Linked DNA regions of Callithrix jacchus. Each later gene encodes a partner of the first gene's protein in a complex. Links are inferred from orthologs where the notes say so. Each region holds a gene or a part of one and is shown in the gene's direction. Other genes may lie near its edges. The genes, in order: MFAP1, SMU1, IK, PRPF38A and ZMAT2.

What was found.
Region 2: MFAP1 (region 1) and SMU1 share a complex: the UniProt entries of both Homo sapiens proteins name them as parts of the spliceosome B complex. The link is inferred for Callithrix jacchus from reciprocal best matches to the Homo sapiens genes MFAP1 and SMU1.
Region 3: MFAP1 (region 1) and IK share a complex: the UniProt entries of both Homo sapiens proteins name them as parts of the spliceosome B complex. The link is inferred for Callithrix jacchus from reciprocal best matches to the Homo sapiens genes MFAP1 and IK.
Region 4: the proteins of MFAP1 (region 1) and PRPF38A are in contact, whole or in part, in a crystal structure (PDB 5F5S), measured with the Homo sapiens proteins. The link is inferred for Callithrix jacchus from reciprocal best matches to the Homo sapiens genes MFAP1 and PRPF38A. Residues at the interface, in NP_005917.2 of Homo sapiens: Glu275, Tyr276, Trp279, Arg282, Glu283, Arg286, Arg289, Asp290, Arg294, Leu297, Glu298, Lys301; in NP_116253.2 of Homo sapiens: Tyr124, Asn125, Tyr127, Lys129, His143, Asp145, Glu146, Asp149, His153, Tyr169, Val170, Glu172.
Region 5: MFAP1 (region 1) and ZMAT2 share a complex: the UniProt entries of both Homo sapiens proteins name them as parts of the spliceosome B complex. The link is inferred for Callithrix jacchus from reciprocal best matches to the Homo sapiens genes MFAP1 and ZMAT2.

What each region holds. Positions count from the first base shown.
Region 1 is NC_133509.1:31,483,142-31,489,548, reverse strand, and holds the start of MFAP1 (microfibrillar-associated protein 1), read left to right. Parts: upstream 1-2,259; 5' UTR 2,260-2,395; coding exon 2,396-2,474; intron 2,475-6,407. UniProt on the Homo sapiens protein: Involved in pre-mRNA splicing as a component of the spliceosome.
Region 2 is NC_133502.1:140,279,140-140,285,361, reverse strand, and holds the start of SMU1 (WD40 repeat-containing protein SMU1), read left to right. Parts: upstream 1-2,264; 5' UTR 2,265-2,360; coding exon 2,361-2,386; intron 2,387-5,924; coding exon 5,925-6,135; intron 6,136-6,222. UniProt on the Homo sapiens protein: Involved in pre-mRNA splicing as a component of the spliceosome. Regulates alternative splicing of the HSPG2 pre-mRNA. Required for normal accumulation of IK.
Region 3 is NC_133503.1:39,013,167-39,019,440, forward strand, and holds the start of IK (protein Red), read left to right. Parts: upstream 1-2,031; 5' UTR 2,032-2,139; coding exon 2,140-2,155; intron 2,156-2,678; coding exon 2,679-2,745; intron 2,746-5,712; exon of another isoform or gene 5,713-6,158; coding exon 6,159-6,251; intron 6,252-6,274. Other genes in the region: NDUFA2 (NADH dehydrogenase [ubiquinone] 1 alpha subcomplex subunit 2), read right to left, coding at 1,510-1,643, 1,734-1,834. UniProt on the Homo sapiens protein: Involved in pre-mRNA splicing as a component of the spliceosome. Auxiliary spliceosomal protein that regulates selection of alternative splice sites in a small set of target pre-mRNA species. Required for normal mitotic cell cycle progression.
Region 4 is NC_133508.1:89,574,376-89,580,145, reverse strand, and holds the end of PRPF38A (pre-mRNA-splicing factor 38A), read left to right. Parts: intron 1-163; coding exon 164-274; intron 275-1,797; coding exon 1,798-1,910; intron 1,911-2,535; coding exon 2,536-2,562; intron 2,563-2,657; coding exon 2,658-2,776; intron 2,777-3,257; coding exon 3,258-3,306; intron 3,307-4,016; coding exon 4,017-4,059; 3' UTR 4,060-4,626; downstream 4,627-5,770. UniProt on the Homo sapiens protein: Involved in pre-mRNA splicing as a component of the spliceosome.
Region 5 is NC_133503.1:39,074,857-39,079,199, forward strand, and holds the end of ZMAT2 (zinc finger matrin-type protein 2), read left to right. Parts: intron 1-77; coding exon of another isoform or gene 78-173; exon of another isoform or gene 174-366; intron 367-1,750; coding exon 1,751-1,894; 3' UTR 1,895-2,789; downstream 2,790-4,343. UniProt on the Homo sapiens protein: Involved in pre-mRNA splicing as a component of the spliceosome.

The sequences.
Region 1 (6,407 bases):
CCGGGAGGGGTGGAGCGAGGCCGCGAGTAGTAGGGCAGGACGGGGCGGGGCCGGGACGCGGCGGAACCCACTAGCACCACCGCGGTCGCAGCGCAGTAGCAGGAAGACCCGGTTGCGCGCGCCTCTTAAGAAAGCCATCTTAAAGCCCTAGACTGAAAATTCCTTAGGGATGTACTTGGTCTGAATTGACATTTTTACCTTTGACTGGTGATTCTGATTCTGGTGGTACTAGGATGCCGCTCTGCAAAACACTGGCAGGCCGGGCGCAATGGCTCACGCCTGTAATCCCAACATTTTGAGAGGCCGAGAGGAGCGGATCGCTTGAGCCCAGGACTTCGAAACCAGCCTAGGCAACATAGTGAGACCCTATGTCTACAAAAAATACAAAAATTAGTCCTGCGTGGTGCTGTGCGTCTGTAGTCCCAGATACTCGGAAGGCAGGGGTGGGAAAATGGTTTGAACCTAGAAGGATGTAGCCAGTGAGGCATCATGCTGCGGCACTCCAGCCTGGGCGACAGCAAAACCCTGTCTCTTTTATAAATAAATATAAAATAAGATTTTGGCTATTCTTCTGTTTAAGGTTCCTTCTAGCCCAAAACTGTTTCCTTAGTTGCTTAACTGGGTCCCACACTGTTACCTGACTGAGACTGGTCCACCCAAGGCCCAACTGTATAGAATACAGTTGAAGTAATTTGGGTAAATCATATTAACAGCAACTTCAAGGCCCTCCACGACTCAAAAATTACTGATAAAACCAAACTTTTCATGGTGTCCTGTATAATGCACAGTTTCTGGACTGCAAGACTGTTTCTGCTGTCCCTTGTGTCCCCCACAATGATAAAGTCCTTCCTACTGTGAAATATGCCCTTTCCCTTTTTTTCTTTTTTTTCTTTTTTTACACAACCCAGCTGGTAAATTGGGGCTGCTTCTGTTATTATTCTACAAGTCCTTAAAGAGTTCTTAAATAGGCCGGCCGCGGTGGTTCACATCTGTAATCCCAGCACTTTGGGAGGCCGAGGCGGGCGGATCATCAGAGGTCAGGAGTTCAAAACCAGCCTGAGCAACATGGTGAAACTTCGCCTCTACTAAAAACACAAAAATTACCAGGTTGTGGGAGGCCGGAGTGGGTGGATCCCTTGACCCCAGCCAACTCGGTAAAACCGCCTCTACTAAAAATACAAAAATCAGCAGGGCGTGGTGGCGGGTGCTTGTAATCCCAGCTACTCAGAAGGCTGAGACACAAGAATTACTTGAACCCGAGAGGTGGAGACTGCAGTAAGCCGAGATCGCGCCACTGCACTCCAGCCTGGGTGACAGAACAAGACCCTGTCTCGGTGGGGCGCGGTGGCTCACGTCTATAATCCCAGCACTTTAGGAGGCCGAGGTGGGTGGATCACGAGGTCAAGCGATCGAGACCATCCTGGTCAACAAGGTGAAACCCTGTCTCTACTAAAAATACAAAAATTAGCTGGGCATGGTGGTGCGCGCCTGTAGTCCCAGCTACTCGGGAGGCTGAGGCAGGAGAATTGCTTGAACCCAGAAGGCAGAGGCTGGAGATCGTGCCATTGAACTCCAGTCTGGGTAACAGCGAAACTCTGCCTCAAAAAAAAAAAAACCCTGTCTCAAAATAATAATTACCTAGAAACTTAAATGCAAACACTTTCCAGCCAGGAATATATTTTAATAGGTAGTTTCCAACTACCAGTGGAAGAACCTGAAAGCCTAGAAGTGGAGTTTTGGGATTTCGGGCAGGCAATGTCTCAGGCACCTTGGGGGATTTTTTTTTTTTTTTTTTTTTTTTTGGTCACTGGATTAAATCAGCACCACCTGCCCTGTGTGACACCAAATACCGCACCACAGCTCACACTGGCCTCATCAACTGACCTAATCAGATACTATTACCAAGATTTTTACTCCATCTAACTCTACTTTTTCTGAGCTTTCAACAAGCCAAACGGCAACTCACTGGCGCCTCAGTTTCTTATTAATTATGCTGTTCTTGGCTTCTAACCAACCTAACACGTGGAACCTTTCATTAGAACCTTCCTCACCGCAGGGTCCGCCGGTCCTACCAGCAAAGCCCAAAAGAAGCAAAATTTCCCGCCAAAGGCGGTTTCCAATTTCTGCGACGTAGAGGACCCGAGGGCAGCCGAAGAGCAGGCGCAGAAACAGACGCAACTTCCTAGCTGTGGGCGCTCATAGGTCCTCCACCGTCCCACAATCCTCTCGTTACATATTTCCGGTTTATCTAGCCCAGCCGTAAGCGGTTTCGCTATCAGTCGAGCAGCTGTGTTCGTGAACGTAGGTGGAAGGGATCGCTTCTCTTCGTTGACGTTGTTGGTGTTCACTGTTTGGAATTAGTCAAGTTTCGGGAATCACCGTCGCTGCCATCAACATGTCGGTCCCAAGCGCTCTCATGAAGCAACCGCCCATTCAGTCTACGGCTGGGGCCGTCCCGGTTCGCAATGAGAAAGGTACGGTGCTGACAACCCTCTTCCCAGCCGAATTTTACTCTTTCGGCCCCAGCAACCTCCAGATCTCTCCCAGGTCTGGAGAGGTCTGTCTCTCCCAGACAGACCACTTCTATCCCGCCAGCTCTCAAGATTTGGCTCCCAAATTCTTCGACCTTTCCACCCCCACCCACTCGCATCCGATCTTCTTCCTGTGGCCTGCTCTCATATTCAGCAAGCACCCCTTAGCCTACACAAATTCCTTAGACTAATATGTACATTATATATATTACATATATAAAAGTACTTAATAGTTACTTAGGAATTTAACTATATATCAGAATATAGATGTCTAATATCCTGGAATATATGTATTAGTCTAATATTAGAATATAATATCACTACATATTACTAGAATATATGTATTAGTCTACTTAGGAACTTAAGTATATATATATTAATCTAATAATTAGGGACTTAAGTATATATCAGAATATAAATATATAATATCAGACTAGATAGATATGTAGGTAGGTAGATACATAGACAGAGAGAATGCCTATTTGCTGGGCATTGTGCGGGATATAGTCCCTCTTTTGCTGTCCATAGAAGACTGCTTATGCTGCCCAGATTGGACTCGACGTCCTGGACTCCGGCTGTCCTCCTGCCTCAGCCTCCCAGGTAGACACCACCGTGTCTAGCCTCAACATGGATTTTGGGAATTATCTTTGAATCCCTATAGATATTTATTCATCTGAACTGCTTATGAATTCCATTGTGTACACTGTAACCAGCCAGAGGCGGTGGCTCACGCCTGTAATCCCAGCACTTTGGGAGGCCAAGGCAGGTGGATCCCAAGGTCAAGAAATGGAGATTATCCTGGCCGACATGGTGAAACCCCGACTCTACTAAAAATACAGAAATTAGCTGGGCATGGTGGTGTGCACCTGTACAGTCCCAGCTACTTGGGACGCTGAGGCAGGAGAATTGCTTGGACCTGGGAGGCGGAGGTTGCAGTGAGCCGTGATCGCGCCACTTCACTCCAGCCTGGCAACAAAGCGAGACTCGGTCTCAAAAAAAATAAATTAATTAATTAAATAAACTGTAACCCACAGTTTATTCCCTCCTGAGGGGCAGGTAGTTGTCCCATTGCTGTTTTTTTCCCCCTGTTAAAAAAGTGCTGCGGCTGGGCACTGTGGCTCACACCTCTGAGGTGGCGGATCACCTGAGGCTAGGAGTTCCAGACCAGCCTAGCCAACGTGGCGAAACCCCATCTCTACTAAAATACAAAAAATTAGCAAGGCGTGGTGGCAGGCACCTGTAATCCAGCTACAAGTTCAAGTTCTGCAGTTGTTGTTCTTTAGCCAATTCAGCTTTAATACCTCTCCAAAGTGAGTTGTAAAAATGTAAGAATTTGGCCGGGCGTGGTGGCTCATGCCTGTAATCCCAGCACTTTGGGAGGCCAGGGTGGACGAATCATGAGGACAAGAGATCAAAACCATCCTGCTAACATGGTGAAACTCCCTTGAACCCGGGAGGCAGAGGTTGCAGTGAGCTGAGATCGCACCACTGCACTCCAGCCTGGCAACAGAGCAAGACTGTTTCAAAAAACAAAAACAAAAAAGAATATAAGAATTTGTGGAGCACATTGGCTCACACCTGTAATCCCTCACTTCAGCAAGCTGAGGCAGGAGGATCACTAGAGGCCAGGAGTTCAAGACCAGCTTGGGCAACATAGCAAGACTCTCATTTCTACAAAAAAATTTAAAATTAGCTGGATGTAGTGATGTGTTCCTGCTACTTTGGGGAAGCCAAAGCAGGAGAATCACTTAATGCCCGGAAGTTCAAAGCTGCAGTGAGCTATGATTGTGCCGTTATACTCCAGCCTGTGCAACACCTTGAGACCCTGTCTCTTCAAAACAAGGCCGGGCGCAGTGGCTCACGCCTGTAATCCCAGCACTTTGAGAGGCCGAGGCGGATGGATCACAAGGTCAAGAGATCGAGACCATCCTGGTCAACATGGTGAAACCCCGTCTCTACTAAAAAATACAAAAAAAATTAGCTGGGCATGGTCGCGTGTGCCTGTAATCCCAGCTACTCGGGAGTTTGAGGCAGGAGAATTGCCTGAACCCAGGAGGCGGAGGTTACGGTGAGCCGAGATCACGCCATTGCACTCCAGCCTGGGTAACAAAAGCAAAACTCTGTCTCAAAGGCTGGGTGTGGTGACTCGCAGCTGTAATCCAAGCACTTTGGGAGGATGAGGCGGAAGGATCACGAAGTCAGGAGTTCAAGAGTAGCCTGGCCAACATGGTGAAATCCCATCTCTGCTAAAAATACAAAAATTAGCTGGGTGTGGTGGCTAAACCTAGAGAGCGTATTAGACACATGAACAAGATGCCCAGCATCACTAGTAATCAGGGGAATGCAAATTAGAATAACAAGATGCCATTTCACACCTGTTCCACCTGTTAGATTGGGCAAAAATGTAAAAATCTGATACAACCAAGTGTGTAAATGATGAATATATGGGAAATAAAGCTCTGAGGTTCTCAAAGTTTTTTTGTTGTTTTTTTTTTACATGGAGTCTCACTCTGTGCAGAATTGCGATCTTAGCTCACTACAACCTCTGCCTCCTGGGTTCAAGCAGTTCTCTGCCTCAGTCTCCCGAGTAGCTGGGATTACAGGCGCCCGCCACTACACCCAGCTAATTTTTGTATTTTTAGTAGAGACAGTGTTTCACCATGTCTCCAACTCTTGACCTCAGGTGATCCACCTGCCTCAGCCTCCCAAAGTACTGGAATTACAGATGTGAGCCATGGTCCCCAGCTATTTTTTTTTTTTTTTTGAGATGGAGTTACGCTCTTGTTAGCCAGACTGGAGTGCAGTGGGACGATCTCGGCTCACCGCAACCTCCACCTCCTGGGTTCAAGCAATTCTCCTGCCTCAGCCTCCCAAGTAGCTGGGACTACAGGCGCACACCACCATGCCCAGCTAATTTTTGTATTTTTAGTAGAGACAGGGTTTCATCTTGTTGACCAGGATGGTCTCGATCTCTTGACCTCGTGATCCACCCGCCTCGGCCTTCCAAAGTGCTGGGATTATAGGCGTGAGCCACCGGATTCCCAGCTTTCGTAAAGGTTTTCTAGCTTCTGAGTGTTCGTATATATTAAATTGGATTGAATACATACTTATACAAAACACACTTTAAGTTAGGGAGCTTACAGTCCTGTAGGGAATGTAAATATTTAAGATAAGTTTGTTTTTGTTTTAGTTTTTTCCCCCCACAAGATGAAGTCTTGCTCTGTCAGGCTGCAGTGTAGTGGTGCGATCTTGGCTTACTGCAACCTCCACCTCTTGAGTTCAAGCAATTCTCCTGCCTTAGCCACCCGGAATAGCTGGGATTATAGGTGCCCACCACCACACCCGGCTAATTTTTGAATTTTTAGTAGAGACGGGGTTTCACCATGTTGGCCAGGCTGGTCCCAAACTCCTGACCTCGTGATCTGCCTGCCTCAGCCTCCCAAAAGTGCTGGGATTACAGGCGTTAGCCACCGTGCCCAGCTGATAAATTTTTCATAGTTGGGTCTTTAATCCATCTGGAATTTTTGTGTCCATGGTAGAAGTTAGAGGTCTAATTTTACTATATGTTTGGCCAATTGTCCCTTCTCTGCTGATGGATTAGCCCATCCACTCTCTACTGATTTGTAATGCCACTTCTGTAATATACTCAAGTTCTCATATAAGCTTGTTTTTCTGCCCTCTACTCTGTTCAGTTGATCTCTGTGTACTTCCTGGGTCACTGACATATCTGGTAAGCTATTCCCTAACCCTCCTTCCCCACCCCCATCAGCTTTTATTCTTTTTCAGCATTTTCTTGGTTCTTTGGGGCCTCCTGTTCTTCCATATGATTTTGGAATAAGCCTAGCGACAACTTTTAATGGAACAGCATTAAAATGA
Region 2 (6,222 bases), on another chromosome or scaffold:
ACATTTGGAGGCCAGGTTTACAATGGTAGTTTTTCTGTGGCTGTCCTGCCCTCTGCTGGATTCAAGAGACAGATTGCAATATGGGGTCTTACAGGAGGGGGTCTATTTACCGGAAAGCGGGGCGGATCACGAGACTGGATTTCCCTCTGGGTTACTTTTGTTCACTAGAAATCTGGTCTGAGAGGTTGTGATCCAGCCTCTGAGTATGCAGTAAAGATTCTTGGTGAATACAGTTGCCTGATTTAGAGTTTAGAAGTTGTCTCTGTGTGTGCCTGCTTGTTTATTTATATATGGATGGAGAGATGTGAGAGACCTCATTTTTCTAGGGTTAAAAACAAAATTTCCTATACAAATTGATCTTTAGGAATTGGCAAAATTTATCAACTTGTGAACAAGAGATCAGCAAGGTTAAGAAAGCTATACTTTTGGGTATGGGAAAGGCATGGAAATGGATGGATTATTGGAATACTTACATAAGTAGCCAGTTCAGGGAAGGGAAACTAGGTATAGATTGTCATTTCATTATACATAGTAACAAAAATGTCATATTCCACTTTCTTATTACAGAATAAACATTAGTGAGGAGGGTTTGCGATGCCAGGAGCATTGACTATCAATCAGGGGTTAAAAATCCAATATATCGAAGAAGCAAAGGATAGGTATACATCTGTGGCTGCTTGCTAGTCATGATAAAGTTTCATTTCTCAAGAATGGTGCCCATGATCACATTGACGTGAATGCATAAACTACAGGCAAAGCAGCAAATAAGTTCTGACTTGAAACAGGCCACTTGGCCCCAGGGATTATCTCAAGCAGCATGTGATCAGACAGAATATAATTCACACTCCCTACCCTCCGCTGCCCCACCTTTTCTTTTTTAGTTTTTCTTTTAAAAATTAAATTTCCTTTTTCTTTTCTTTTTATTCTTTTTTTTTTTTTGAGATGGAATCTCACTCTGTCACCCAGGCTAGAGTGCAGTGGTACAATCTCGGCTGACTGTAACCTCTGCCTCCCAGGTTCAAGCTATTCTCCTGCCTCAGCCCCCTGAGTAGCTGGGATTACATGTGCATGCCACCATGCCCAGCATATTTTTGTATTTTTAGTAGAGACAGGGTTTCACCATGTTGGCCAGGCTGGTGTTGAACACGTGACCTCAGGTGATCCACCCACCTAAAACTCTCAGAGTGCTGGGATTACAGGTGTGAGCCATGGTGCCCAGCCAGATTTATTATTATTGTGCTGTAAATAATTTTAAAAATTTATATACACTAGTAATAAAACATTTAAAAATAGGTTTTATGTATGAACTTTACTGATACCTCTACATTTCATTTGTCACTACAAATGTAATAATGTGTGTGATCTAAAGTCCGGTGAGGGGCGCGGTGGCTAACGCCTGTAATCCCATTATTTTGAATGGCTGAGGTGGGAGGATGGCTTGAGTCCGAGGCGTCGAGGCTGCAGTGTGCCTTGATCGTGCCACCGCACTCCAACCTGGGCAACAAAGTAAGTCCCTGATTCTAAAAAATCCAAAACTAACCAACCAACCAACCAAAACCCCCAAAACCCTTAATTAACTCTTTCTATAAATTTTGTTACGTCGCTTTCGAATATATTAATATCCCAATCAAGTAGTGCATATTCAGCCTTATCTAAAATCTAATCAACTAATTACATCAAATGACAACCCCTCCTCTTCCTCCTCTTCCCTCCCCTCCCCTCCGCTGCCCTGACCTGCCCTCCTTTCCTAGTCCAGCCTGAATCCTTTTTTTTTTTGAGACAGAATCTCACTCTGTCGCCCAGGCTGGAAGTGCAGTAGCGCGATCTCGGCTCACTGCAACCTCTGCCTACTACGTTCAAGCGATCTCCTATTTCAGCCTCGCGAGTAGCTGGAATTACAAGCGTGGGCCACCACGCCCGGCTAATTTCTGTATTTTTAGTAGAGCAGGGGTTTCACCATGTTGGCCAGGCTGGTCTCCAACGCCTGACCTCAGGTGATCCATCCGCCTCGACCTCCCAAAGCGCTGGGAGTACAGTTGTGAGCCACCGCGTCCAGCCCCAGTGCTTTTGTTTTTCACTGCATTTGTGAGCTGTATGGCGCCCAGTGCTTTTAAACAGTCTTTCTCCAGGAGCTTATTTCTCTAGGGCAGGGGCATAAACTCCACCCTCTGACAGTCCCTCAAGGCCCCGCCCTTGCGCGCACCCCGCCCCTCTTTCTGATCATTCCGTCTGAAGGGCAGGCGCCGGACTCCGGTTGCCGACCCAAGCGGAAGTGACGTAAGGTGGCCGCCGGAGGTGTTGCTGTGTTGCGCGACTGGCCTTGAGGGAGAACTGGGGCCTGCTCCCTGAGAGATACAGCTATGTCGATCGAAATCGAATCCTCGGAGTGAGTCTCGTGGTGGGGATGTTCCAGCTGTGCCGGGCACCCGGAGGTTAAGGTTGTGGGGTGGAGGGTACTCGAGAGAAGGTATCGGAGAGGCTAGGGGAGGTTAGGGAGTGGAGGGCCATTTCGTTGGGCCCAAAGAAGCATCTTGGATCTGGCTAGCTCGGAGGTGGGCCGGCAAGGAAGTAGCCACCCTCAGACGTGAAGCCAAAGTCTCGAGGGAGGTGGCACGGGGTGGGGAAAACACCTTGCAAACCTGAGTTCTGTCCTTGGCCGACTGTGCTGTGATTGATCAAATTAAGGATCCACTCTGGACTCCAGTCTAATTATCACACAGGGGGCTTGGTCTCTTTAAGCCTTGCTTCTCTCCCTGCCCAACTTATGCAAAGTGATTCGTTTCTTCCTCTGTGCTTATACGGTCTCTTTGCTTTCCTCTGCCTAGCGTTTATCACTCAATATTTGATAACCTTACCCCAGACTAGCTTTGACGGTGCCTAGGGGCTCCTTTTCCTTGTGGTCTCAGCGTACCTTAGAGGAAGAGTTAATTGCTTTTGGAATGAAAGAACAACTAGCTATTTTATCAGGCCCTGAATTTTGGTTTGTTTGTGAGCTCTCTGTAGCTGTAAAGGAGAGACAGTCTCTGGAGACTGGGCTAGAAAGAAGAATTTTCAGGGAATGGGGGAGAAAAGTAATGACCAAAGACCTTTAGTGTGCTTTTCCAGAACTCCATCCTCCACCTGTCCTTGCCAACACTTAATAATGATTAAATTAACAGAATTGTGAGAGAGGACCTTTTTTGGAGACTTTTTTTTTTTTTTTTTGCAAGACGGAGTCTCACTCTGTTACCCAGGCTGGAGTGCAGTGGCGCAGTCTCGGCTTGCTGCAACCTCCGCCTCCTGGGTTCACGCATTTCTCCTGCCTCAGCCTCCCAAGTGGCTGAAACTACAGGCGCCCACCACCACGCCTGGCTACTTTTTTGATGTATTTTTAGTAGAGAGGGAGTTTCACTATGTTGGCCAGGCTGGTCGCGAACTCCTGACCTCTTGATCCGCCCACTTCAGCCTCCCAAAGTGCTGGGATTGCAGGTGTGAGCCACTGCACCTAGCCCTTTTTTGGAGACTCTTCATAGGAGGCAGGGAAGTTTATGCATTCTGCAAATACTGAAATCTATGTATTGTTATAGATGCTGGAAATACAGTAGTGAACAAAACAGACAAAAATCCTTCCTCTCATAGAACATACATTGTGACTGGGGAAGGCAAGCAATAGACAAAAACGATAAATAAAATATGAAATGTAACAGATGGTGGTAAATGCTTTGGACAAAAATGAAACAAAGAAGAATGATAGGGAGTGCTGGAGATTATGACAACTAGGTCAGGAAGGAGTTGGAAAGGATTCCATGCTTTGGGGCCTGAGTGGTACCTGTAATGACCATTCTCCCAGTCTTGACCTTGGCTGTAGCAGTAATGGCTACTGCATGTTTTGTTTTGTTTTTAATTAATAATAGTTACTATTGGGCCGGGCGTGGAAGCTCACACCTGTAATCCCAGCACTTTGGGAGGCCGTGGTGGACAGATCACGAGGTCAGGAGTTTGAAAACAGCCTGGCCAACATGGTGAAACCCTGTCTCTACTAAAAATTCAAAAATTAGCCTGGCATGGTGGCAGTCGCCTGTAATCCCAGTTACTCCAGAGGCTGAGGCAGAAGAATTGTTTGAACCCGGGAGGCAGAGATTGCAGTGAGCCGAGATCGCGCCATTGCACTCCAACTTGGGCAACAGAATGAGACTCAAAATAATAATAATAGTAGTTACTATATACTAAGTACTTTCTATGCTAAGCATGCTGTAAGTAGTATAATCAACCTTTTTATCAACCCTACAGGATAGGTATTTTTCTTAACAGATAAGGAAGCAGGCACAGAGATGTTAACTGACTTGTCCCAGGTCACATAATTTTGATTCAAATCCCAGATTGTCTTCAAAGCTTTTAGCTCTTTATATATTCGTTTGTGTTCGAAGGTAGAGAATTTGATTTTGGCTATGTCAAATTTGAGGTGTTTGAGGAGAGAGATGTCTTATTTTGGGAGTGCAAAATGAAAGTCACTGGAAATGTGCTAAGGAGGATAGTACCATACCAGAATAGTAGGGGTCTAAGCTTGGATACCTGCATACCTCAGAAAGGGGCCATGAGAGAAAAAGCCTACTGCAAATAGCAGCAATCAGTTCTCTTTTATAGTTGTTTTTAAGAAGAGGGGCCAGGCATGGTAGCTTACACTTATAATCCCAATGCTTTGGGAAGCTGAGGTATGTGGATCACTTGAGGTCAGGAATTTGAGACCAGTCTGGTCAACATGGCAAAACCCTGTCTCTACAAAAAACACAAACATTAGCTGGTGGGATGGTGCATACTTGTGGTCTCAGCTACTCAGGAGGCTGAGGTGAGAGGATCGCCTGATCCAAGGAAGTTGAGGCTGCAAAGAGCTGTGAGCACAACACTATTCTCCAGCCTGAGCTCTGGGAGTGAGAACCTGTCTTTAAAAAAAAAAAGAAAAGAAAAGAAAAGAAGTAAAGAAGAGAGTGTTTGCTTTCTCCTCAGGAATATATGTTCAAGAGCCACACTGCCAGTTTGAGTCCTGATTTTTCTACTTATTATCTCTATTATTTGGTCACATCCTCTGTAATTTGGGGATAATAATAAACTTAAAAAAAAATTTTTTTTAACAGGACCACCACTATCAGATAGTAGTAAACTTACCTCATAGGTTTTATTTTATTTATTATTTTGAGACAGGCTCTTGCTGTCTTTCCCAGGCTGCAGCCTCAACCTTAAGGGGCACTAGTAATCCTTCCACCCCAGCTTCCCAAGTGGCTGGGACCACAAGCACACACTACTCTGCCTAGCTAATTTTTTTTTTTAGTAGAGAAGGGGTCTCCTTATGTTGCCCATGCTGGTCTTGAACTCTTGGGCTCAAAGGATCCTTCTAAATCAGCATAGCAAGTAGCTGGGACTACAGGCACATGCCACCATGTTTGGCTAATTTTTAAAAATTTTTGTAGAGATGGTGTCTCATAGCTGCCTGGTCTGGTCTCAAACTCCTGGTTTTCAGCAGTCCTCCTGCCTCAGCCTCCCAAAGTGCTGAGTTTACAGTCATGAGCCAATGTGCCCAGCCTCATTGAGATTATTTTGTATCAATGACTAGACTAGTCATTTAAAGTATTTCAGTGAAGTGTGCTATAATATAATCATAAGAATGAACAAGAAACTAGGCTCTAGATTAGGAAATAAGATAGTCACCTTAATACCAACTCCCTTTCTGGCTGAGACATCAGGCAAATGATTTCCCTTCTCTGAACCCCAGTTCTGTCTCTAGGGTGGGGAGGTCCCCTTGTAATTCAGATTCTGTGACTTTGGAAAGTTTTACTCACATGATAAAGAGATGGTGGTGAAAGGAAATGATGAGTAGGAGCTGGGTAGGCTTTAATTTTTGGCCTCTGGCGAGTGGAAATCCCTGAGCTGAATGATTTGTTTTCTTTCAGTGTGATCCGCCTTATCATGCAGTACTTGAAGGAGAACAGTTTACATCGGGCATTAGCCACCTTGCAGGAGGAGACTACCGTGTCTCTGAATACTGTGGACAGCATTGAGAGTTTTGTGGCTGACATTAACAGTGGCCATTGGGATACTGTGTTGCAGGCTATACAGTCTCTGAAATTGCCAGACAAAACCCTCATTGACCTCTATGAACAGGTAAGAGTGATGGTGATGCTGATCCCCATGGGTTGGTTTGTTGTGGGCCGGCTCCCTGACTGGAAACCATCAGTGAGCATTCCTTTA
Region 3 (6,274 bases), on another chromosome or scaffold:
GTAGGCTACCAAAGTAAAATAAAAGGTCCTTTATCTTACAGTCTTGTTAAGATGGGAAGAGTACACTTGGTATGCCTAGAATTAATACAATGGGTCTCAAACACATCTAGGAAGCCCAAGTCTAAATAGAATTTTGGCTGATTCTGGACAGCTACAATGGGTTGTTTCAGGGAAGCTAAAGCTTTATAGTTAACTACTGTGAGCAGTGTATATTGCATGGGTCCAACCTTGGCTGGGTGCCCATTTCCTAGGCGTCTATGCTAGCTCACATAATACCCAGCACAATACACTGAAGTTACTCGTGTCTATCTCCTTGTAGTCTACTGTCTTTTGGGAGGAGCTTTTTTTCCTCCTCCAATTATTAATGCATGACATACTACAGAAGTCTGTGAGAACCAATCTGCTTAAGGTGGTCACTCTCCTCCACCTTCCCACTGACATTTCCAGGGTACCATATAGTTAAAAGCTGTGATTAAAATCCTGTTATTCAGTATGTATAAATATTTATTGCATACCTACAATGTGTTAGGCAACGTGATAGGAAAATTTCATTTTGCAATATATTGGAATAGGGTAATATAAAAAGGAGCTAGAAGCAGTCAGCGAATGCCTTTTTGAAGCAGTAACATACATGACCAGAATAATAACCTGAATAAGGAGCCAGCCATGCCAGTCTTAGAGAGGTAAGTACATTCTAGAAAAGGGGAATAAATGTAAAGCCTCAATCCTGTTTTATCCTAGCTGCATTACTTTAGCTAGGTTCCACAAGGTTTTGATTCCATTTTTTTCCTAATCTCTACAATGAGAAAAGAAGAACACGCTTCCTCATGACAAATGAAGATTAAATGAGGTTGGGCCCGGTGGCTCACACCTGTAATCCCAGCATTTTGGGAGGCGGAGGCAGGGTGATCACGAGGTCAGGAGACCATCCTGGCCAACATGGTGAAACCCCGTCTGTACTAAAAATACAAAAATTAGCTGGGCATGGTGGTTGCACGCCTGTAATCCCAGCTACTTGGGAGGCTAAGGCAGGGGAATTGCCTGAACCCAGGAGGTGGAGGTTGCGGTGAGCCGAGATCGCACCATTGCACTCCAGCCTGGGTAACAAGAGTGAAACTCCGCCTTAAAAACAAACAAACAAATAAATAAAATAAAAATAAAAATTACTGAGATTCTCACACTATCTGGACAGACAATAGCTACATGTTATTTGAACGAAACTATACTGACTAGCTTCTCTCCTATGAGAAACCCATTCTCAGCTACAAAAACATCAGTTCTTGGTCCCTACGCAGGACTCGGGTCAGCCTATATACTTATGTTGCCAGGGATACAAGGCATCATATAACTCTGAGAATATAAATTTCTTCATGGCAACAAGATCAACAGCAAGGCTAAGTCCGAGTTCTAGTTTCTCCATGGGTTTCCGCACGACCTTGGGCGGTCCCTTCTCTTCTCAAACCCTTGTTCCCCTACCGGAGCCCCAGATCCCTGGCGTCTCGCACTCACCGTAGCGGGCCCAGAGTTTGGGATGCACATCCGAGCACTCGCGGATTAGAATGGGTAGGTCGGGATTCGCCTTCTTCAGCTCCACGTAGCGTTTCTCAATGAAGTCCCTGCAGGGCCGGAGAGCGCCGCGCGTGCTGTGGACGCGGGCTTCCCCAATTTCAGGGAGGTCGAGGTCGTGACCCCGGCGTCCCCAAGCCCGCCCGCCTCACCACGCCGCGCCTCACCTGACGCCCTGGCTGCCGGGTGAGCGCTGACATAAGTGGATGCGAATCTCTCGCAGGGCCAGCTTTACCCCGAGTCCTCGACTCGCTGCGGCCGCCGCCATCTTGGGTAATACCGAAGTCACCAGTGCCAGGTCTTCCGGCCAAGTTCTCAGGTTGGACCAATCGCGGACCCTCCAGCCTAGGCCAAAGGCTGGATGACGCAGGGAAAGCTTAGCCAATGATATGCAAGTATTGTAGGACCGCCCTTTGCGCGCAGGGTTGGTCAGAGGCAAAAACAGGAAGCGGAAAGGCTGAGAACGCAAAGCAGTGTGGGTTGATTCTAAGGTGCACCGTGGGAAAGGGCTTGGCACTGCGGTGTTGCTGTTGGAGACTCGATCGTTGGTGACATCGGAAGACCGCGAACAAAATGCCGGAGCGAGATAGTAAGGGTCATGCCATCCGTTATTTCTCATGGCACTCGGGGCACTTGGCACATTACTGTAGCTTCTGAGCTCGAGCCGCTGTGTGTGTGTGTGTGTGTGTGTGTGTGTGTGTGTGACGCTTGAGCCCCGCGAAGCCGTAGGGCCCCCAGTGAGGCCGGACAGCTCCAAACTCCGTACCCAAGCCTCGCTCCTACTCCAACTGATGATGGGTAGCTTTTGTCTGTGGTTCACTTTCCCCAAATCCTGTCCCCGTACTTAATCCTGGGTTGCGCGTATCATCTCTTACGTAGTATTTTAGACGTGATCTCAGGAAGTCTCTGGTCGTGCACCTTAGGGTTAGGGTCCTCTGCTTTGTGCTCCCACAGCTTCTTGTAGTTTCCCATTTCAGCACTTATTACCTTATGTTTTCACTGCCCCTGTTCTACCTCTTGTTCTATATGTTGTTCACTGCTCTATCCCAAATTTTTGCACAGGATCTGACACATAAGAGACTGATTAAATTAACCTCAATTCTTTTTGTCAGGTGAGCCATTCTCCAACCCTTTGGCCCCCGATGGCCACGATGTGGATGATCCTCACTCCTTCCACCAGTGAGTATTTTGTCGTAGGACCATGGAAATGAGCTGGGCAATGGATAGAGGAATGGTGGTGATGATGAAAGAATTCTGAATGACTTGTCATTATGGATGGTCAAAAATTAATTATGCCCGCTGGCCCTTTATCTCTGTGAACCTTACCTGGATCAGGCCAAGTGCATAAGGGTATGAGAGGAAATTCTGGCAAGAACGGTGATAAGTTTTTGTTTTGTTTTGTTTTTAATATATGTTATGTAATTACACATTATATAGGAATTCCTTCTTCCAATAGAAAATAGAAACATAGGAAATAAGGGTAAAATCATCATTGATAACATTATCAATTCCAGTTCATTTTTTTTTTTTCCTTTTTGGAGACAGAGTATCACTCTGTCACCCAGGCTGGAGTGCAATGGCGCCATCTCAGCTCACTGCAACCTCCGCTTCCCAGGTTCAAGCGATTCTCCTACCTTAGCCTCCCAGGTGGCTGGGATTACAGGTGTGTGTCACCACGCCCGGCTAATTTTTGTAATTTTAGTAGAGACAGGGTTTCACCATCTTGGCCAGGCTGGTCTCGAACTCCTGAGCTCGTGATCCACCCGCCTTGGCCTCCCAAAGTGCTGGGATTACAGGTGTGAGCTACTGCACCGGCCTCTTTTTTGTTTTTTGATTCAGTCTTGCTCTTTCGTGCCCAGGTTGGAGTGCAATGTGCTATCTCGGCTCACTGTAACCTCCACCTCCCATTTCAAGCGATTCTCCTGCCTCAGCCTTCCAAGTAGCTGGGATTACAGGCATCCTGTCACCATTCCTGGCTAATGTTTTATAATTTTAGAGAGATGGGGTTTCACCATATTGATCAGGCTGGTCTCGAAATCCTGACCTCAGGTGATCCACCTGCCTTCGCCTCCCGAAGTGCTGGGATTACAGGCATGAGCCAATGTGCCTGGACCACAGTTACAATTTTATGTGTATCTTTTCCTCCTGTTGTCCATGCTGGAGTGCAATGGCACGATTTCTGTTAACTGCAACATGCACCTCCCGGGCTCAAGCAATTCTTCTGCCTCAGTTTCCTGAGTAGCTGGGGTTATACCAGGCGCCTACCACTACCCCTGGCTAATTTTTGTATTTTTAGTAGAGACGGGGTTTCACCATGTTGGCCAGCCCAGTCTTGAACTCATCACCTCAAATGATCTGCCCTCCTTGGCCGCCCAAAGTGCTGGGATTGCAGGCATGAGCCACCATGCCCAGCCCTCCTCCTCCTTTTAAAATGCATTTATACATATGCATGCATATCTAAGGAAAATACAACATTGCCTTATGATTTAAAATATTTAAGTTAAATGATATTATGCTGTATATGTCATTTTTGCAACTTGCTTCTTTTTTTTTTTCTGCCTGCCTTGGCCTCCCAAAGTGCTGGGATTACAGGCGTGAACCACTGTACCCAGCTACAACTTGCTTCTTTTTAAGCCCTGCTCAGTGTTTCTGAGACTGACAAGCATTCCCTCTTTGGCTAAACTTTAGTCAGGTTCCTCAAAGAGTCCTGTTTTTCAGCAGGACTCATCTTTGGCCTGCTGAGCACAGTTTTAGCAAAGAAATCAGCCCCCGCTGCACCTTCAAACCTAACCAAATTGTCCTTAGTAATTTTCTATAAATTCTCACTTGTCCCTGTTGTATTTGGAATTGAATTCAATCTCTCTACTCTATTACAATGGTCTTGACTCCTGTTTCAATAGTCTTTGATAAAGTTTTCCTTGGAAAGAAGAGGAACTTGATTAGACATTGAGGGTGGGAGAAGAGGAGCTGGATTGGATATCAAGAGTGGGAAAACTTTCTGTGAACTGACTTAGGATTTCTTTTTTTTTTTTTTTAAGTTCTGGGGTACGCATGCAGAATATGCAGGTTTGTTACATAGGTATACCTGTGCCATGGTGGTCTGCTGCATCCATCACCCCATCATCTATATTAGGTATTTCTCCCAAGGCTCTCCCTCCTCCACCCCTCAACCCTGACAGGCTCCAGTGTGTGTGATGTTTCCCTCCCTGTGTCCATGTGTTCTCACTGTTGAACTCCCACTTATGAGTGAGAACATGAGGTGTTTGGTTTTCTGTTCTTGTGTTAATTTGCTGAGAATGATGGTTTCTACCTTCATCCATGTCCCTGCAAAGGACATGAACTCATCCTTTTTTATGGCTGCATAGTATTCCACATGACACATTTTCTTTATCCAGTCTGTCACTGATGGGCATTTAGGTTGGTTCCAAGTCTTTGCTATTCTGAACAGTGCCACAGTAAACATTTGTGTGCATAGACACAGTCTTTATTACCTGAGGTTAGGAGCTCAAGACAAGCTTGGCCAACATGGTGAAACCTCATCTCTACTGAAAATACAAAAATTAGCCGGGCATGGTGGCAGGCACCTGTAATCCAGGCTACTCAGGAGGCTGAGCCAGGAGAATCACTTGAACTTAGGGGGCAGAGGTTGCAGTGAGTCAAGATCATGCCACTCCAGCCTGGGTGACAGAACAAGACCAAGACTCAGTCTCAGAAAAAACAAAACCAAAACCTGAGGTCAGCAGGCCAAGGAAGAGCCCTAGTCAGAAGAGAGCTTCAAAGGAGTCTGTCTGACTTTAATTGATTAACAGGGAAGTCAGTTCTTGTCGGTGTACCAATTAAAATAATCTCTCATACCATTAGTTCTATCTTTCCCTCTTTGGAAAACACCGTTACAGTTTAGTTCATCTCCAGCTAATAAACACTTAGTTCTGTTTCAGACTGATTAATTTCTTTTTTTGAGACAGAGTCTTGCTCTTTTTGCCTAGGCTGGAGTGCAGTACCTCAACAGAGGGAGATTCTGTCTCAAAAAAAAAAAAGTGGCATATTTTTGTTTTAATTTGTATTTCCCTGATTTCTGTTTAATTATGATTTTTATGTGTTTCTTTTTCTTTGTTGAAGGTTTCAAATGTACTTTATTTCTTCAATAATGCCATATCTTAATGGGTACACAGTGCTTTAACTTGGCATCAACTATGAGATGTTTTTTAAACAATTTATTATTACACCAGTTGGGATTATTACTAATCTCTCCATTCCTTTGGAATGACTCTGCCAACAGGGGAAAGGGTCCATTCTATTCCGATTTGTGTTGCTACATATGTCCATACAGCAATACAGAAAGTGGTTCTACCAGCTAATACAGCATTCCCATATTTGTCATGGAAATCGGGTGTACATTTCTGGTGGCTCAGCCTTGCCATTGTTTGCTGAATGCTTCAAACTTGGAGATGACTTAGTGCTTGACCAAGGGAAACATCATGAAGGTGAAGATAGAATTGTAGCAATATAGCTGCTGCTTTGGTGTTAATTCACTTACCCTTTTTCATTTCTTATTGAGCCCTAATATTTAAAGTCCTTGCCTTTTCTTCTAGATCAAAACTCACCAATGAAGACTTCAGGAAACTTCTCATGACCCCCAGGGCTGCACCTACTTCCGCACCACCTTCTAAGTCACGTCACCATGAGTAGGTCTTTGGGTGATCCAACC
Region 4 (5,770 bases), on another chromosome or scaffold:
AGAACTTGAGTTTCTAGATTCCAGGTCTATTAAACTTGTTAGGAAAACCTTGAATGCCTTTGAAAAGAAATTGCCTTAGCTGTTGCTCCTCGGGGCCCTGAAGCCCAGTTGTGAGGTTTCAGGAAATGGCAACAACTCCTGACTCCCATTACTTTCTCCATAGAAACGCTATGTATTAGAGGAAGCTGAGCAACTGGAGCCTCGAGTTAGTGCTCTGGAAGAGGACATGGACGATGTGGAGTCCAGTGAAGAGGAAGAGGAAGAGGATGAGAAGGTCAGGCACCTAAGACTTTGAGAGCTGTAGGGGAGAGAGTTATAGAAAATGGGAATGGTTTTTTGTTTTTAAACTTTTTTTTTTTTTGAGACAGTCTTGCTCTGTTACCAGGCTGGAGTGCAGTGGCACAATCTCGGCTCACTGCAACTTCCGCCTCCTGGGATCAAGCAATTCTCCTGCCTCAGCCTCCGGAGTAGCTGGGACTACAGAGGTGTGCCACCAAACCCAGCTAATTTTTCTATTTTAGTAGAGACGAGGTTTCACTGTGTTGGCCAGGATGATCTCGATCTCTTGACCTCATGATCCACTTGCCTCAGCCTCCCAAAGTGTTGGGATCACAGGCATGAGCCACCACGCCCGACCTAATTTTTAACTCTATTGGCCAGGCACGGTGGCTCACACCTGTAATCCTAGCACTTTGGGAGTCCAAGGTGGGCGGATCACTTGAGGTCAGGAGTTCAAGACCAGCCTCAGTAACATGGTGAAACCCTGTCTTTACTAAAAATACAAAAATTAGTTGGGAGTGATGGTAGGCACTTGTAATCCCAGCTACTCAGGAGGCTGAGGCAGGAGAATTGCTTGAACCTGGGAGGCAGAGGTTGCAGTGAGCTGAGATTGTGCCATTGCACTCCAGTCTGGCAATAACAAGACCCCGTCTCAAAAAAAAATTTTTTTTTAATTCTTTAACCAAATACAATATTTTCTTATTGAAAGTACCTCAGCTCTGCCATATACTAGTGGTATAATCTTACACAAATTAAATTGAGTTTTCTCCTATGTAAAGTGAGGTTAATGATACTTTTCTCCCAACACTGTTAAAAGTATTAAATAAGATGATAAACATAAAGCCCTTAGCACATTTTTGGCACATTATAATTGCCTAATAAGTGGTGGCAGCTATTAAATAATTGGAAAGAAATAACGCTTGTCATAATTGCCCCTGTCCTCAGTAATAAGCCTTGTTTAGGAGGGGGAAAATGTCAACTGCATAGTCATGTTCTTTCAGTACTCGTTACAATGCTGAAAAGTTGAAACCAGCCAAGCTGCCCAGTTGTTTCAGGAAGCAGCCAGGTAAAACTTTTGTTTTTTGAGACAGGGTCTCGCTTTGTTGCCCAGGCTGAACTACAGTGCCACAATCTTGATTCACTGCAGCCTCGGCCTCCCAGGCTCAAGCTATCCTCCCACTTCAGCCTCCTAAGTACCTGGAACTACAGGCACATGCCACCACGTCTGGCTGATTTTTGTATTTTTTTGTAGAGATGGGGTTTCACCATGTCTACAAAACATACACACACACACACACTCACTCACTCACACTCTCTCTCTCCGCTCCTGTTCCTATATAGCTCATAAGTTTTGTTAGTTAATAGGGTAAGTGCTTCCCTCTTTGTAATCAGATCACTGTGCTTTAAAGTCACTTGGAGATGGACTTTGGGACAAGATGTGGAGCAAAGTATAATTAGTGTTTCTAGTGGCTCCTTATGAGCTTGTGCCTATCAATGACCCAGCCATCTTGTTTCCAGTTGGAAAGAGTGCCATCACCTGATCACCGTCGGAGAAGCTACCGAGACTTGGACAAGCCCCGTCGCTCTCCCACACTGCGCTACAGAAGGAGTAGGAGTCGGTCTCCCAGAAGGTAAAGCCTTAGTCGTTGGCCTTTTCCCAGGAGATTTTGAGCACTATAGCCTAGAAGTTTGGATTTTAGAGAAGGAAAAATGACAGCCTATGGAGAATGTTTGCCCAGTATATTAGTTATCTGTTATTGTAACAACCACCTATAAAACCTCATTGGCAGACAACAATAACCATTTGTTTTGTTCAGAAGTCTGTGGTCAGTAATTTAAGCAGAGCTTGGATAGGCAGTTTTTTAAGTACCTGTTTTGTTGTTAGCTGTTTGCTGGCTACTATGGGATCGCCTTTGCTAGGATGACAGGGGAAGTTTCCCTTCTCTGTATCATCCTCCAGCAGGATAAGATGGGCATCTTTTCATGGTACTGGCAGAACTAAAGAGCAAATAAACCCAGTCATGCAGATATTTTTCTTGTATCTGCTTTTATCACGTTTGCAAATATCCCATTAGTCAAAGCAAGTCATGTGTCCAGTCCTAAAGTTAGAATGGGAGTGTGCTAGTGTTACATGACAAAAGACATGGATACAGAGAAGGGTGATACAGAGAAGGGTGAAGAATAAAATTGGGGCCGTTTTTGCAATCTGCAACATCCAGTGCACCAACCTAGGCTTTCTTTTTCCTCTCTTTATAGGCGAAGCCGATCTCCCAAAAGGAGAAGGTAGGCCTTCGGTCATTTTGATGAAGGACAGGGCTTTCGGGAGTGGGGGTGGTATTGGTTGGTGTTTTATGTATATTGCTAACCAGATCTGGTAGTTTGACCAGTCTTTTCTACAGCCCCTCCCCCCGTCGAGAAAGGCATCGAAGCAAGAGTCCAAGACGTCACCGCAGCAGGTCCCGAGATCGGCGGCACAGATCCCGTTCTAAGTCCCCAGGTAGAGCATTTGGGCCTTTTGCCACAGGTTCTCTTAACAAAGAAACATAAAAGGAGCAGTTAGCCTTCTGCAGTACAGGGTGCCTGACTGAACTGCGTAGCAGAAAAGGAAATGGACATAGAATCTGAAAATAAAGGTTCACAGCTTGTCACTTTTATAAGCCTTGCTGATAAGGTTTGCTTCTGTTTTTTCATCTGAAATTACAAGAATAAGATCTAACATAATAATAGAAACCCAATATGATGTTTGTGAAGTCAGCCATAAAGCCCTTGAATGAATGTATTTGTATTTGAACTGGTTTCGTTAGTACTTTCTTTGCTCCCTCTTCCTTCACTAATTCAGAGAGTTGCTACCACTAAGAGGTGTCCCCTGCATAGGCCAAAAAAAATATCAAGCCAACGGCAGACATTAGGGAGGTGAGAATGGGAGTTTAATAAGAATTGAAGGGTAGGATCTCATACAGTGGCCTTTTCTTCCCCAGGTCATCACCGTAGTCACAGACACAGGAGCCACTCCAAGTCTCCTGAAAGGTAATGAATTGACCTCTATTTTAACTTTATTCAGAAATAAAAGTCCCAATTATAACTAATCGGACCTGAAATTTTGTTTTGTTGGGGCATATTAGGAATTCTCCTTAATTACAAGATAAAATTGGTCTATTGCTTTGAAAATTACTGGGGCTAGAGACCCTTTTTCTTTGATACGGTTTCGCATTTATAGTTTTTTCTTATAAAGTTTCTCAACCTTTATTTTTAATGAAGGACGTGCTGAGTTTTGCCCAGGCTGGAGTGCAATGGCGTGAACTTGGCTTACTGCAACCTCTGTCTCCTGGGTTCAAGCAAGATACCCGTTTTGTTTTGTTTTGCTTTACAGGATTGCAGCTTTGGATAATGGATGAACTTTGGTCTTAGAAGACACGGAGTTTAGTCCCAGCTTTTAAAACTTAACAGTTGAGTGACCTTGGAAGAGTCACTTTCATTTAATAAGATTTCATTAGAAACCCCCATGTGCCACATACTGTTGGGTGCACTCTTAACCTCTGAGACGTGATTTCCTCAATGGTAAAATTTGGATAGTAACCCCTGATTCAAGAGTGTTGCTCTGAATCAAAAAAATACCAAGCAGTTTAATGAATATGGAGTGTTAGCTCCTTCCCCATTAGTGTCAGCATGCCAAGGTCCTTCTCAGAAGTCCCTGCCCAGATCCTTAATGTAATTATTTATATGTGTTTCCATTTCAGGTCTAAGAAGAGCCACAAGAAGAGCCGGAGAGGGAATGAGTAATGGACTCGGTTTGGTTGTAGTCCACATGGCCTCCTGTGGATATGAGGGTATCTGTCTATGTGGAAGGCTTAAGAACTCCCCAGGCAGCTACAAGAATATTTTAGTTTTTTTCTTATAAAGTTTCTCAACCTTTATTTTTAATGAAGGAGGTGCTGAGTTTTGTATCTCTTTTTAATCATCATTAACATCAGTTTTTGACCGAACTAACCTTGACTGTATTCAAACTTATGAGGGTGGAAAGGATCTGTAGGTTGAAGATACGAATGACAAGGAAAGGATGTGGCCACCTGATGACCCTTCTCCTTTTTATTAAACCAGACACATCTGTTTCCCATTTCTCTGTCATTTAGTTTTTGGTTTGCTGTAGTTAGAACTACTTTGAGAATCCTGGGATTTGTGCTGCTGCTATTATTCAAAGATATGAGTAAAACATAGTAGCTCCTAACTTTTTTCCAGCAGCAGCAAATGGTGATACACATGAAAACTGGTTAACAGTTTTGAAAGAACAGAATGCATTCAAATGTTAGGCTTCTGGATCATTAAAGCCAGTTTCATTGAACAGTTCAACAGAGTGGTACTTAATACCCTTTATACAGCCCATTTTTTCATAGTTCCATTGGTTCTTGCCCACAAACTTGAAATCCAGGTTAAGCTATCCAGCCTTTGTCATATAAGCATTGACATTATCCAGGACTACTCGGTAGCAGTAGGTAACAGGATTGAAAAAGATTTGATGGAGAGGAAAGTATCTAATACTAGTCATGGTTTTGATCTAAATTGCTAGACAAGAGTGCCATTTACAAAGTAGAAAATATAGCAGAAAGAGAAGCTTTTAGGGGGCAGAGTATTAGAGGATTGTGCTAGTAATGAAAGGGATGCATTCAATTTAACAAGTTTGAGACAGCTATGGTATAGCTAAAAAAAAAAAAAAAAAGCCCATAAAGTTGGAGATAGGCCAGAATTGACAATATTTTAAGTAATTGTGGAATCTGTCAATAAGACTGCACAGAGAGTGTTTATATCAGAAAAGCACATGAGAACCATAGACAACACTGGTGACAAGAAGTACTGGAATGACCCATTCAGAAAGACGGGAGAATTAGGAGACAGTAAGTGAAAGAAGCCAAGGGTCAAGAACGCAGAAGCAAAGTAAGGACTAAAAAGTCGCCATGGACATTGATAATCAAGAGATGAGATATTTGCTAGAAGAATTCCTTTTACCAGTACTTAACTCCCTTAAACAAAAGTGACTGACTTCCTGCAACTGTAGTCCTAGCAGGAACTGTGAAGACCAGCTGCCCTACAGAATCCAGTTTTTCTTGGGAAGTTATATCTGGTCATAAGGTAAACAGTGCATTCTGTTGCCTGCTCTTGAACTGAAAGATTTCTACAGCAATATTAAAGCTTTTTTAAATCTTAATTGAGCTTTCATAATCTTCAGTGATTCCTTTCATAACACCTGAATTAAAGAGCTCTTATGGTTTCCGATACAACTATATAGGACTACCTTTTAAAATTAAATATAGCCATCTCTACGTAAATGTTTTGCAGTATCCTATCAGTTCTTTATGAAAGTGATTTAGATAGAAATGTTTCTTGGCTAAATGACCATGGATCTAGTACACTCTTAAAACTTTAAATTAGGCTGGGTGTGGTGGCTCACACCTATAATCCCAGCACTTTGGGAGGCTGAAGCCAGCAGATCACAAGG
Region 5 (4,343 bases), on another chromosome or scaffold:
CTCATCCCACCCCCACCCCCAGAGTTGTATCTCTTGAGTTCTATATATTAGCAGGAATATTTGTTGCCTTTATTTAGGATTCTCATGACCTGAAGGAAATGGCTCTGAAACTACTTTTTTCTTCTGGACTCTCTGGGCCTTATTTTATTTTTTTGGTATTTCTCTACTTATGATGGGGTTACCTACTGATAAACCCCATCATCAAGTTAGGAATATCAGAAGTCAAAAATGTATAATACACCTAACCTACCATAGGTTAGCCTAGCCTACCTTAATGTATTCAGAACATATTAGCCTATAATTGGGCCAAACTGTCAACACAAAGCATATTCTATAATAAAGTATTCATCTCATTAGTTTATTAAATACTGTACTGAAAGTGAAAAACAATGGTTGTAGGGATACTTGAAGTACAGTTTCAAATATATGTCAGTTTCTCTCCATTGTAAAATTAAAAAATCTTATCAGATCAAGTTGAGGACTGTCTCATCTGTATTCTTTAATTTTTTTAAAGATTTAACTTTTTTAGAGCAATTTAGGTTTATAACAAAATTGAAAGGGAGGTATAAAAATTTTCCGTATACCCATTGCCCCCCGCAACATGCATAGCCTCCCCTGTACTTTTTCTTCTTCTTTTTTTTTTTAAACTACAAAAGGAATTAATTAAATGTACCTAGTCCTAAAGAGGCCCATGGAATCAGTCTGACTGGATCAGAATTCTGTTTCTTTCTCTTACTGAATTTGGGCAAGTTATATAACTTCTCTGTACTTCCATAACCCCATATTAGAGATCTTAGTATAGTATACATGAAGTACAACAGTTTCTGGCCTGTACTGCATGCCTCAGAATGTTAGTTGCTGTTAATACGGTTTTGCTGTCATAACCCTGTTAGGAACTAGAAATGAAACGGGGCCAGATGCAGTGGCTCATGCCTGCAATCTCAGCACTTTGGGAGGCCAACGTGGGTTGATCACTTGAGCCCAGGAGTTCAAGACCACCTCAGCAACATGGGTGGGACCCCGTCTCTAAAAATACAGGGCCGGGCGCGGTGGCTCAAGCCTGTAATCCCAGCACTTTGGGAGGCCAAGGCAGGTGGATCACGAGGTCAACAGATTGAGACCATCCTGGTCAACATGGTGAAACCCCGTCTCTACAAAAAATACAAAAAATTAGCTGGGCATGGTGGCGTGTGCCTGTAATCCCAGTTACTCAGGAGGCTGAGGCAGGAGAATTGCCTGAACCCAGGAGGCGGAGGTTGCGGTGAGCAGAGATTGCGCCATTGCACTTCAGCCTGGGTAACAAGAGTGAAACTCTGTCTCAAAAATAAATGAATAAATAAAAATAATAAAAAAATAAAAATACAAAAATTAGCTGGTATAGTGTGGTATATGCCTGTAGTCCCAGCTGCTTGGGGCTGAGGTGGGAGGATTGGTTGAGCCCAGGAGGTGGAGGTTGTAATGAGCCAAGATTATGCCACTGCACTTCAGCCTAGGCGACAGAGTGAGACTGTCTCAAAAAAAAAAAAGAAAAAGAAAAAAAAGTGAACTGGAGTCCAGGATTGAGAACTTCCCTCTAGGGACTAAAACTTTTTCTTATCCCTCACAGTTTTTACTGTGGCTTTTACTCTGTCCTTCAGATTTTACTTAACTACTTTCTCCTAACGATAAAAAGGAATCTTGAAGCTCATGTTTTTTTCAACAACATTTGGCTGAGGAGTCTAAACTGATTCTGAGTGACTTTTCCCTCCAGGAGGAAAAGGCCAAAGCATACAAGAAAGAGAAACAGAAGGAGAAGAAAAGGAGGGCTGAGGAGGACTTGACATTTGAGGAGGATGATGAGATGGCAGCTGTGATGGGCTTCTCTGGCTTTGGTTCCACCAAGAAGAGTTACTGAGGCTTTCTATGCTTGGCCTAACTTTGGCCTATGCTGGACCTAACTTTGTGTGTGTGTTTGTAGTGGGGGGTAATTTCTTTTTGGGTAATGGTAAAGTCCTTAAGAGTGTCAATGGGGAGGGACAGAAGTTGGGGCTCATGGTTTCCTCTACTTTGGGAGAGGACATAGATTGCAGAGGTAATGCTGTGGCATATTCCTTCAGCCTCAGTATATCACTGGAGTCATAGGATCCCTGCCCACCTGAGTTCCCAATAAAGAAAAACCTCCCTTTCTGAGGCTGCTTTCCCAAAACTCCCCCTGCATCTTGATCTCTCCATCTATCCAACCTCTTGTCTGAGCATCCCACCTTTATCCTGTGTTCTGCCTTTGTTCTAATTTTAACTCATGTTCAGCCTGCAACAGAAGCATTCTCTAGGTCCCAGTTTGCAGTTGATTGCATATCGTTGACCAGCCCTTTTTTCCCATGGTTCTCTAGCCACCTGTGCATGCATGTGTATTTCTGCCTGGTTCTATGATGTGCGTGGATGTGTGTGCATGAATCTGTCACATAGAGGGGGCCTGAGCTGGAATCTCAGAGCATTGCTGCCCTGGGACCTAATGTTCTTGGCTTCCTCACAGCATGTAACAGGAAATTAAATGGGATGAGTGTTTGGTGTGGTTTGTGTCTGGTGAGTTTTTTAACATTCAGGTATAGATTGTTTCAGCTTCTCTTGTTTCATTTTCCTGAGGATTTCTGTTTTTGTCTTCCTTGTGAGCAGGCTTTTGGAAGAACCTGTTTGATACAAAGAAGAAAATGAAAAAACAAAAAATCCCCAAAGCCTTCCTATGGGAGCCATTGGGTCCTAGAAGCTGTTCAACATGTATAATAAATGGCATTGACTGGGCCTGTTTCACATTTGGTGGGAACATTTCATCATCTTTCCTGTGAATATTTGTTTTTCTTTCTCACGCTGAGGATTTCAATATAGAGTGTTTTTTCCTTCTATTTAAAATTTTACTTTTGCCTAGGTTTTTTTTTTTTTTTTTTTTTGGTATGAGTTATGTTTTCCTCTGATACAGGATCTATGCCCAGAGGCGTCTGAACCAAAACTATTCCTATAATTTCAGACTCCTTTGATCTTTTGTTTTTGGAGCAGCAGAACTCAGGGTTCAACTTAGTGCTTTTCTTTTTTTTCTTGAGGCAGTGTCACTTGCTTGCCCAGTTGAGTATAGTGGCACGATCTTGGCTTACTGCAACCTCCACCTCCTGGGTTCAAGTGATTCTCCTGCCTCAGCCTCCTGAGTAGCTGGGACTACAGGCACCCACCACCACACCTGGCTAATTTTTGTATTTTCAGTAGAGACGGTGTTTCACCATGTTGGCCAGGGTGGTCTCAAACTCTTGACCTCAGGTAATTCACCTGCCTCGGTCTCCCAAAGTGCTGGGATTACAGGAGTGAGCCACTGTGCCCGGCCCTTAGTGTTTTTCTTACTCTCTGCTAGACACAGGATTACTTAATCTTGACACTGTTGACATTTTGTGCCAGATGATTATTTGTTGTAGGGACCAATGCTGTATATTGCAGGATGTTTACGATTTTAATTTAGGATTAACTTCATCCCTGGCCTCTACCAACTAGAAGCCAGTAGCACCCTCCCACAATTGTGACAACTAAAAATGTGTGTGCTCCTGAGAAAGACAAAATCCCTCCCTACCCACATTGATAACCACTGAGACGAGCTACCTGTCTTTTTCTTATCTAATCTTGGTCTAACTTGAGAATTAGATGACACAGTCTGGATAACTCAAAACAGAAACAAAACTTTGATATCCACTGGGTCAAGAACTGTGCCAAGTCCAGGGGATGGAGAGGAAAAAAAGTAGTCATATACATACATGAAGAATTATAGTCACATTAATTTCAAGCAGATGAAACCTGTAACTTCTCTTGCTGGTTCTATACCATGAAAAAATTGATTTATGTGGGTTAACAGGCTGCCACCATATAGCTGGTTTTCGTTCTCTGCCCCATTAAGCTCCTCACCCTTCTGTAGTATCTGAACCACTGGGGGTTCCACAAAGCACCATACACCTCCCTTTGGGCTTTTGTACAAAACTCCCTTACTGTAAGACATGCCCTCTGCCTAATTAATTTCTGATCCTGACTCTTGCCATTGGGAACACCGTGAATGTATTTTCACCTATGGGTTCAAGGCCTGGCTCAAAGTTTTAGATACTGTAAGTATTTGTTGGTCAACTGGGGGCAGATTGGTAGCTGCTTTTCTTGGCAGGATTATGTGCACTTCAGCTCCCTTGGGTGACAGTCTGCTTGTTGACTAGGTCTTTTGTCACCCTTTTAGTGAGTTCCTTCCATGGTTCACTTTTTTTTTTTTTTTTTAATGAGAGTGTCACTCTGTCACTCAGGCTGGAGTGCAGTGGCACGATCTCAGCTCACTGCAACCCCTGCCT